3 linked regions of the Saccharomyces cerevisiae S288C genome follow. Changing the gene in region 2 together with the main gene of any one other region gives a genetic interaction. Each region holds a gene or a part of one and is shown on either strand. Other genes may lie near its edges.

Region 1 (3,066 bases), on a different chromosome or scaffold from region 2:
GAGTTCCAGCCAAGACGAGCACACACGACACCAGAACGAGATAAACATGCTAGGAAGGGCATTGCGACCTGGGTGGCTGGGCATTACTAGGACGGTGGTTAAGAAACCAAGTTGCGGGTCCTACTTTAACAGAACCTTTCAAACAGCAATTAACACTACAATGCCTCCCATGCAAGAGGGCATGCTGAGTACAATGATGATGATGACGGCTACGGCAACAAGGATCACTGGCACAGTCAGTGAGCCATTAAACGGTTCAAATATAGTGATGCAACTCGATTCAGTGATGAGAAAGAGGAAAAAAAAGATGAAGAAACACAAACTGCGGAAAAGAAGAAAGAGGGAGAAGGCAGAAAGAAGAAAGCTATCTCAGGGTAGATAATAGGGCTGTAAAAACCTCTCACATGTTTTTCTCTGCTGTTTTTCCTTCCCTATTCTTCATATTTTGATATTATTTCATGTATATATTATGTTTGTATTTAGACTTTTTTTTTTATACGTTATACTATGCTAAGAAAACTCTTTACCAAGAAGTAAAGAACCCAGATCGCGATAATAGAAAGCACCAGCAGCATGACCGTGTGGAGTGCTCTTCTAGTAGCAGAATCCTTGTTGAACATCCATTCTTCGTACAAGTACGTAATACACTTGAAGCTGAACTTGCCCATTAACTCGCGACGATTCAACTCTCCAATTTCTGCAACGATGTTGAAGTTCCAATCAAAAATGCCTTCTGCGACGCTAATGATCTGCAACTTTTGTGCTTCGGTCAATTCCGTCCTGGTGGCCAGCTCATAGTTCTTCTTGTATTCCCATTTCAAGCGTGTTTCTTCAGTGGGACCCAGATCGCTGAAGGTGAAGAAGTTTGTGCCCTTTTTGACCAGTTCCTTCTGTGATAGCTTCTCGAAGTTGGGGAAGAGCCCCAGTCTTCTGTACAAATTCGATCGTATTAGCTTGCCGCCGGCGAAAAGCGCCAAGTACAGAACGTGACAGTAAGAAAGAATGGTGCATGGCTCCTTGTGTATGTTTTCGTGGATGTTATTGATAAACTGCTGTAGTAGCGGTGGCTTCTGGAACGTAGCCAGGAATTCGTTTAATGATTCTGTGCTTTTAAACGTGTTTGAGTATAGCAGCTTCAGGTCCTTATAGATCTGCGTAGATCTTCTAAAATCTTCGAGCCAAAACTGCTTCAGAATGGTCGAAGTTTGCAGCTCCTCCTCCGTTACGGGGTCATTCAGTAGGCGATCTATCTCTTGCTCGATGGCATCGAACACATAATAGTACGCCAGAATACCCTGTCTGTATATAAAGCCATGTCTCATGGCGATGGCCATCTTTATGCCCATGAAGGTATTGATTTTATTGTGGGCATCTCTGGTTTGAAAGTTGATTCTGTTTGCTAGCGCCCCCACGTCAGTGGGTGAGGGTATGATTGTATTGCTACTGTCCTCCATTTTTGCGGTTATTTTATGTGTGTGTGTGTATATATGCTGTGTTATATTGTGCACTGTTAAATAGCTCCTCCTTAGACTAAGCAAGAGAGTATGAGGAGGTTGCTCTTATATACAAACACAAGAGGGCGAGAGGGGCACCTGGCCATTGCTCCATCACACCCAACTCAGGTGTAAATCGTCCTACTTATGAAGGTCATTAGCCCATGTTTGAAACCGTGTGTTACATGGCTCAAATTCCACGGTCCGATAACGCCGACCCCGAGCAGGTGCAAATGGCCAGGCGGTATCGCCAATGATCCGTTTATCTAAAGATAGATAGATGGCCGAACGTGGACTGCCTCTATGGGTACAATAACATATGCACATGGCAACGGGTCTTGGTGCTCAATCGACGGGCACATACACCCTGACTTTCCCCATCATACGACGATGCTCTAGTAAACTTGCACCCGCACCTGTTAGATAAACAAGTGCGCCCAAGATCACAATACCGAAGGGGCGATATCACCACTCAGTATTCTACAGTCGAGCATAGCGTAGTCTGGCAGTATCCCGCACGATCCATTGTATTGTTTGTCCAAACCGCATTTTATGTGTAACGATTAATCGTATATACATGGCCTACAAGAAATTACCCTGCGGCGAAGGGTGAAAAAAAAAGTAGTGGAAACTAAAGAAAGAAGAGTTTAGTTACGGACCCTTTCAAGGATTGACACACTCCCAATATTTTGCTACATTATTGACCTTTGTTGAAGGAGGCGTTCGTTTATTTAATTATTTTGTTCTGTTTTGCCTACAACTGCGAATACGCTCACATTCTAGTTTGACCTTCACAAATTCTTATCATCTTCTTTTGTTTATTTTGACACACCCCTATTAAGTGTATTTGTTTTGTAAGTAATGTCTAAGCAGTTTGTTCGTTCTGCAAAGAACATGATGAAGGGCTACTCATCCACACAAGTGCTTGTGAGAGATGCCACGGCGAACGACTCGAGGACTCCATCGATAGACACTCTCGACGATTTGGCACAGAGATCTTACGATTCGGTGGACTTCTTCGAGATTATGGATATGTTAGACAAGAGGCTGAACGATAAGGGCAAATACTGGAGACACGTTGCCAAATCGCTGACCGTTTTGGACTATCTTGTTCGTTTCGGGAGTGAGAACTGTGTGCTATGGTGCAGAGAGAATTTTTACGTAATTAAGACATTAAGGGAATTCAGACACGAAAATGAGTCCGGATTTGACGAGGGACAAATTATCAGAGTAAAGGCTAAAGAACTCGTCTCTTTGTTGAATGATGAAGAAAGGCTACGCGAAGAGAGGTCTATGAATACAAGAAACAGAAGGGCGAACAGAGCTGCTAGGCCAAGGCCAAGAAGACAAAGAACAAGGAGCAACCCACACGATTCTTCTCCCTCTTACCAGGACGATTTGGAAAAGGCCCTAGAGGAGAGCAGAATTACTGCTCAAGAAGATGAACAACGTAGAAGAGAACTGGCCCAGTACGACGATGAAGATCCTGACTTCCAAGCTGCCTTACAACTAAGTAAAGAAGAAGAGGAGTTGAAGCAATTGCAGGAACTACAGAGATTACAGAAGCAACAAC
Region 2 (2,790 bases):
TCATCTTTCGTTATGTCTTGTTCCTTCTCTAACCAAGTCTTAGCTCAAATTGCTTTGTTCAAGTCTAACGATAAGTCTTTCAGAGAAAAGCACATTGAATTCCAAAAGACAGGCCCATTCGAAGTTGGTGTCCACGTTTTGCCAAAGATCTTGGATGAAGCTGTCGCTAAGTTCCACTTGGGCAACTTGGGTGTTAGATTGACTAAATTGAGTAAAGTCCAATCTGAATACTTGGGTATTCCAGAAGAAGGTCCATTCAAGGCCGACCACTACAGATATTGATCAATTCAATTCCCATTTCAGTTCTTCTTTCTCACTATTTTTTAATGTTCAAAAACTCAACGGTTTGATCATCAAAAAAGATCATAAATAAATTGCAAATATAAAAACAACAGCTAACAATCCTATCACAGTATTAATACTAATACATGTGATACTAAGTTACGTTATCGAAAAGATAGATCCTGTATACCTATATATATAATAAATTCTTCAACAGTAAATATTTCATTCATGCACTTGACTTTTTTTCATAAATAAGGGCACGTACACTAAAAAAGCTACATTTCTCTCAGATAATGAGTAGGGCATGCATATCCCTGTGGATTCTTATCTAAATATAACTGGTGGTATTCTTCAGCATCGTAAAAGTTCTTGATTGGTTCAATAACTGTGGCAATCTTATTACCCCATTTTGGTTGCCATTCTTCCTTTATTTTGGCTAATTCTTTTAAATCAGCATCTGAATGAGCGAACAATCCACTGCGATACTGTGTACCTTTATCAGGTCCTTGTGAATTAGATGTAGTAGGATCATGGATTCTAAAAAAGAAATCAGTTAATTCTCTCAAAGTTATCACTTTGGGATTATAGGATACTTGTAAAACCTCCGCAAAATCTGTGTCACCACCACAAACTCTCTTATAAGAGACACTAGAGGGGCTATCCTTTTTAGACTCTTCTCCATTAGCGTAACCTACTTTACAATCCACTATACGGTCATTCAAATACTTCCTATACATATGTTCTGTACCCCAAAAACATCCACATGCTAATGTGATTAATTTATCCTTGGCTGGATCATACTTAATGGTTTTTGAAATAAGCGACGACATTGCAACTTGATTTACTTGTTAAGTTTTTGACGTTAGAATATAACTGTCTTTCCAATTAAATCTATATATATGATATTGAAAAATGTGTCTCTGTCTACTCTTGTTTATATATGCCCTTCATTTTACTCATCGCAACTCCCTCGTTTTCGGCGCGATCAACTGTGGTGGCGGATTTTTTGACGCTGTGCCCGTTAACTCATTCAATAGTGCTACTGCTATCACTGTCACAGGCTACAAACCGGTCGACTGTATCTTGTGCGTCTGTGACAAGTTGGTCAAGGACAGAGGAGTGTTCTCTTTCTAACCTTGGAGCAGTCAAGTTTGGAGGCAACATCTTAGTACCTTGAAGGCGAGCATTGATTGTGATGCTTGAGCGTGATTTTAAACCAGACTCAGGCGGATTTTTCTCAGCATTAGTAGTTCTTGACTTTTTTATTGGTGATATTTCTATTACGTCCTTCCAAACGTCAACCTGTTCGTCCTGTGTAAGATCCCGAATTCTTTTACCGGGTGAACTATCTAAAACGCTTTGGCTGTTTGTAATCTCATCTACAAAAATCAACGAATCATCGTCATTATCGCTGTGTTCATCGACGGTGGTCAGTCTTGTGGGAGCCGGTATTTCTTCCAGACTAGTATCTTCGTCTGTATCTACAAAAAGCCTTTTTCTCACAGGTTCCAGGATTTCCTTTCTCGACTCGCCTACCTTTCCGATACTTTTAATCGGCGAAGTATGCTTTCTTAAAAACTCATCCAAGTTATTCTTCTGTGGTAGCCGAGACTTATTCGATTTTTTACCTTTCTTCTCTTTTTCTTTCTGTATAAGTTGCTGTGTCTCATAATATTGAATTACTAATGGATGCGATTGAGGTATCAAGTATTTGGGTAACCAAAGACTATTTGGGTGTTCCATTATATCCATCTGACGTCGTGTGGGACTCTTGCTTCTACTGGGAGAATTACTGCGCTTCAAAGGAGATTGAGAAGAAATGGGTATATTAGGCAAGAATGTTGTATACCGTATTTTAAAACATGGTATTTGGAACTTTCCACCATCTATGTTCATAATTTTTTCTTCGGTAATCCTCATATTACCTTTACCTATATTATCGGACTCATCAATTGATAAAAATTCTCTTAATAGAAACATCTCGTGCATAGAATCATGAAACCACTTGTCGAAGCTAGAAATTTGAGGCAAATTCAAACTTTGTAAAAAATATTTCAGTTCATTGAAATTTAAGTTTCTGTAGTGTCCGTTTCCAGCCATATTTATGTATTTATCACTGAGAACTTCTTCATCAAAATATGGTTGGACAATGGGGTGAAAATAGTGCATGATTGCGACAGTTGATGGCCAGCCTTCAAATGAACCTTGATTCAATAAAACAGGATAATTTCTTCCAAATAGCTCGACAGAATGATCCTTGCAGTATAAATATAATCTTTTTTGAAACAATCTATACCGAGACTTCCTCAGACTTTCTGATGTCAAATCTTCTAAATTGAAATCTTTGAAAATGTCATAAAATTCCATGGAAAAGTTAGGATCTTCGCATTGAGCCAACTGCAAAGATTTGTTTTTACCCAAACCCTTGACTCCACGATTGTAATCGGCACCTAATAGCACGCTGAAAAATAAGAGAGACAGGCGATCAAACTTCTTCCCTGCTAC
Region 3 (3,048 bases), on a different chromosome or scaffold from region 2:
TCAGGAAGAATATCCATATTGTCCAACTTGACCTTACAAAGGACGAAAGTATTGGCAATATTGCGGACGAGATCAAGAAAACGCCATTCTTCTTGGGTATTGATATTTTTATCGCATGTTCTGCAGTATCTGATTCTTATTACAAGGTCCTGGAAACTCCCAAATCAGTCTGGCTCAACCATTATAGCACAAACGCTCTGGGTCCGATACTAGCCCTTCAAAAAGTTTATCCACTGCTTCTTTTGAAAAAGACGAGGAAGATATTCTTTATCTCTAGTGTTGCAGGATCTATCAATGCGTTTGTACCACTTTCTGTTTCCGCTTATGGTCAATCGAAAGCTGCCTTGAATTATGCGGTAAAGACGCTCAGTTTTGAATTGAAACCGGAGGGTTTTACTGTCGTTGCTTTTCACCCAGGTATGGTATCTACTGATATGGGCCAATATGGCCTTGATCATTTTAAAGAGAAGAATATAGACATCAGCGGCGTAAATATTATCACACCAGAAGAAAGTGCCTCTGCGCTAATTGATGTCTTCCGAAAAATTTTACCAGAAGATAATGGAAAGTTCTTCAACTATGACGGCAGCGAAGGCGTCTTTTAGATAAGTGCAAATTTGGCTACTTATATACAACTCAGATACGGAATATACCTTTGTGTAATACACTTTTTTATTGGTAGGTGCTATATGATGTGACTTTGCTTTTGCCTCACGCCCCTTTAAGAAGGTATTTTGTGGCATCACTTTGTATGCTGATCTTTTAACGCTTAACCAGATTTGAAACTATCTCTATTATGTCCTCTGATTTTAATTAGGATGGTATATAACTGGTCCTAGAACCGAAGATTCTGCATATTCGCCGAAAACCATCCCTTAATATTATAGACATAAATTGCCAGTCTGAGAAGAATCCAAGAATCTATTTCATAATGTACATTCCTAAACATTTTGAGTCCATGGAACTCTCAAGGTACAAATTATCAAAAAAACCCCCGCTAGGAACACTATTCTCCTCTAAGGCTAGCAGGCAAGGTTTCTTCGGATGGAGAACTTCTTCCAATAAAGATGACCCCGATTTTGGTATGTGCGCATCACATATTCCATTTGTATTCGTGGAGTTCGATAATGGAGAGCATAAACTTATTGCACATTTAGCACGGAAGAATAAACATGTGGAAATGCTGGAAAGAGTTCAAAAATGCTTAGTGGTATTTCAGAGCGTCGATTCATACATTTCTCCGGCGTGGTTCCCAATGAAGAAAAAGACCCATAAGTTCGTACCAACATGGGATTTTGCCGCTGTGCACGTTTACGGTACACCAAGGATTATCCGCGACGATAAAGACTGGCTTATTAATATGTTATCAACTTTGACTGACCAAGAAGAAGAGAAAAGACCTGAGGGGGAAAATGTACGAAGTAAAGTGGAGCGTTTCTGATGCCCCAGATTATTATATCAATGCTATGCTTCAAAACATTGTCGGGCTTGAAATCAGTATTACCCATATTCAATCAAAGTTCAAATTCGACCAAAATAAATCACAGATTAATGTTGAAGGCATATGTTGAAAATTCAAAGAATTTGGTGGAGAAAGAGGCCAAGAAATGGCTCGCCTTGTAAAAGATAACTATCCAGGTAGCTTATAAGTTTTGTATTTTCTCTGCGCATTAAATATCAATAATTATTTATTCGTTTTCATTCTTTTCTTATCTTATCTTTTAATATTGACTTAACAGAGGGCAAGGCCCACCGTGATGCAGAAAGAACACAAACGCAAAGGTTTACCTATTCCCTGCAGTTAGAAAACCATGTTTGGAGGAAATGAAGAAAGATATTTACAGTTGAGTTTACAACGAAGTATTATCCTTTTTAACGAACGCTAATATCATCGGTTTCTTCATGTTTATATGATGACGATTTTCCCAAATGTAAGCAAACAAAGGCGTTTGCTGATAAAACAAATCCGTAAATTAGAAAAAAAAACAAAAAAAAACAAACAGATATGGGCTCATCAACCGGGTTTCATCATGCCGATCATGTTAACTATTCTTCAAATCTGAATAAGGAAGAAATTCTAGAACAGCTTCTGCTTTCATACGAGGGGCTATCAGATGGACAAGTCAATTGGGTTTGTAATTTGTCAAACGCTTCGTCATTGATCTGGCATGCGTACAAGTCATTAGCTGTTGATATCAATTGGGCTGGATTTTACGTTACTCAAGCTAGCGAAGAAAACACACTGATATTGGGCCCATTTCAAGGAAAGGTCGCTTGCCAAATGATTCAATTCGGTAAAGGTGTTTGCGGAACTGCAGCCTCTACAAAGGAAACGCAGATTGTTCCAGATGTCAACAAGTATCCCGGTCATATTGCGTGCGACGGTGAAACCAAGAGCGAAATTGTTGTTCCAATCATATCCAATGATGGTAAGACATTGGGCGTCATAGACATAGATTGTTTGGATTACGAAGGATTCGACCACGTAGACAAAGAATTCCTAGAAAAACTTGCTAAATTAATTAATAAATCATGTGTCTTTAAATAAGAGTTTTGAGAACGAACAAGTATTTACGCACATAACCAATATTCCCATGTAGCTCTCTTGTCAAATATATTGTCGGACGGGCACGAATAGAGATAAACATCAAGAAAGATTGAGGGGCTTCAGGAGATCATTGGTGAAGAAAACATTCCCTGTTCGCCAAATTGACAGCTCTCAATCTTTATTTGTAACCCTTATTGCAAATTTATGGCATGTTTACCCTCAAACAAAGGATATTCAGCATTTATTAAAAATATCTTTGCTTGGTAAGAAAAAAACGTCAACGAAAATGACGGAGATATCTGACGGAAAAAAAAATTGATTTCGCCCAGGATCGAACTGGGGACGTTCTGCGTGTTAAGCAGATGCCATAACCGACTAGACCACGAAACCACTTAATTGTTGAATAACGGACATCTAAAGTCATATCTATAGTGCAGCAAGTTCTTCTTCAGCTCACCCCAGTCTCGCTAAAGGCATGCTTACTTTGCCGTAAAGAAGAA

What was found. A genetic interaction does not mean that the proteins touch.
Region 1: of MXR1 (region 2) and HMX1, extra expression of one rescues a mutant of the other (dosage rescue), as found in Saccharomyces cerevisiae (one study listed by BioGRID).
Region 3: mutations in MXR1 (region 2) and YKL069W impair growth when combined (synthetic growth defect), as found in Saccharomyces cerevisiae (one study listed by BioGRID).

Annotation. Positions count from the first base shown.
Region 1 is NC_001144.5:552,224-555,289, forward strand, and holds HMX1 (Hmx1p), read right to left. Parts: upstream 1,455-3,066; coding exon 501-1,454; downstream 1-500. Other genes in the region: mitochondrial 37S ribosomal protein mS38 QRI5, read left to right, coding at 47-382; ENT2 (epsin), read left to right, coding at 2,355-3,066. UniProt on the Saccharomyces cerevisiae protein: Plays an important role in the degradation of heme under conditions of iron deprivation.
Region 2 is NC_001137.3:233,262-236,051, reverse strand, and holds MXR1 (peptide-methionine-S-sulfoxide reductase), read right to left. Parts: upstream 1,116-2,790; coding exon 561-1,115; downstream 1-560. Other genes in the region: SAH1 (adenosylhomocysteinase), read left to right, coding at 1-282; YEN1 (crossover junction endodeoxyribonuclease), read right to left, coding at 1,312-2,790. UniProt on the Saccharomyces cerevisiae protein: Has an important function as a repair enzyme for proteins that have been inactivated by oxidation. Catalyzes the reversible oxidation-reduction of methionine sulfoxide in proteins to methionine.
Region 3 is NC_001143.9:305,280-308,327, forward strand, and holds YKL069W (L-methionine (R)-S-oxide reductase), read left to right. Parts: upstream 1-2,005; coding exon 2,006-2,548; downstream 2,549-3,048. Other genes in the region: OSI1 (Osi1p), read left to right, coding at 1-605; YKL070W (uncharacterized protein), read left to right, coding at 932-1,441. UniProt on the Saccharomyces cerevisiae protein: Catalyzes the reversible oxidation-reduction of the R-enantiomer of free methionine sulfoxide to methionine. Does not act on S-enantiomer of free methionine sulfoxide or R-enantiomer of dabsylated methionine sulfoxide.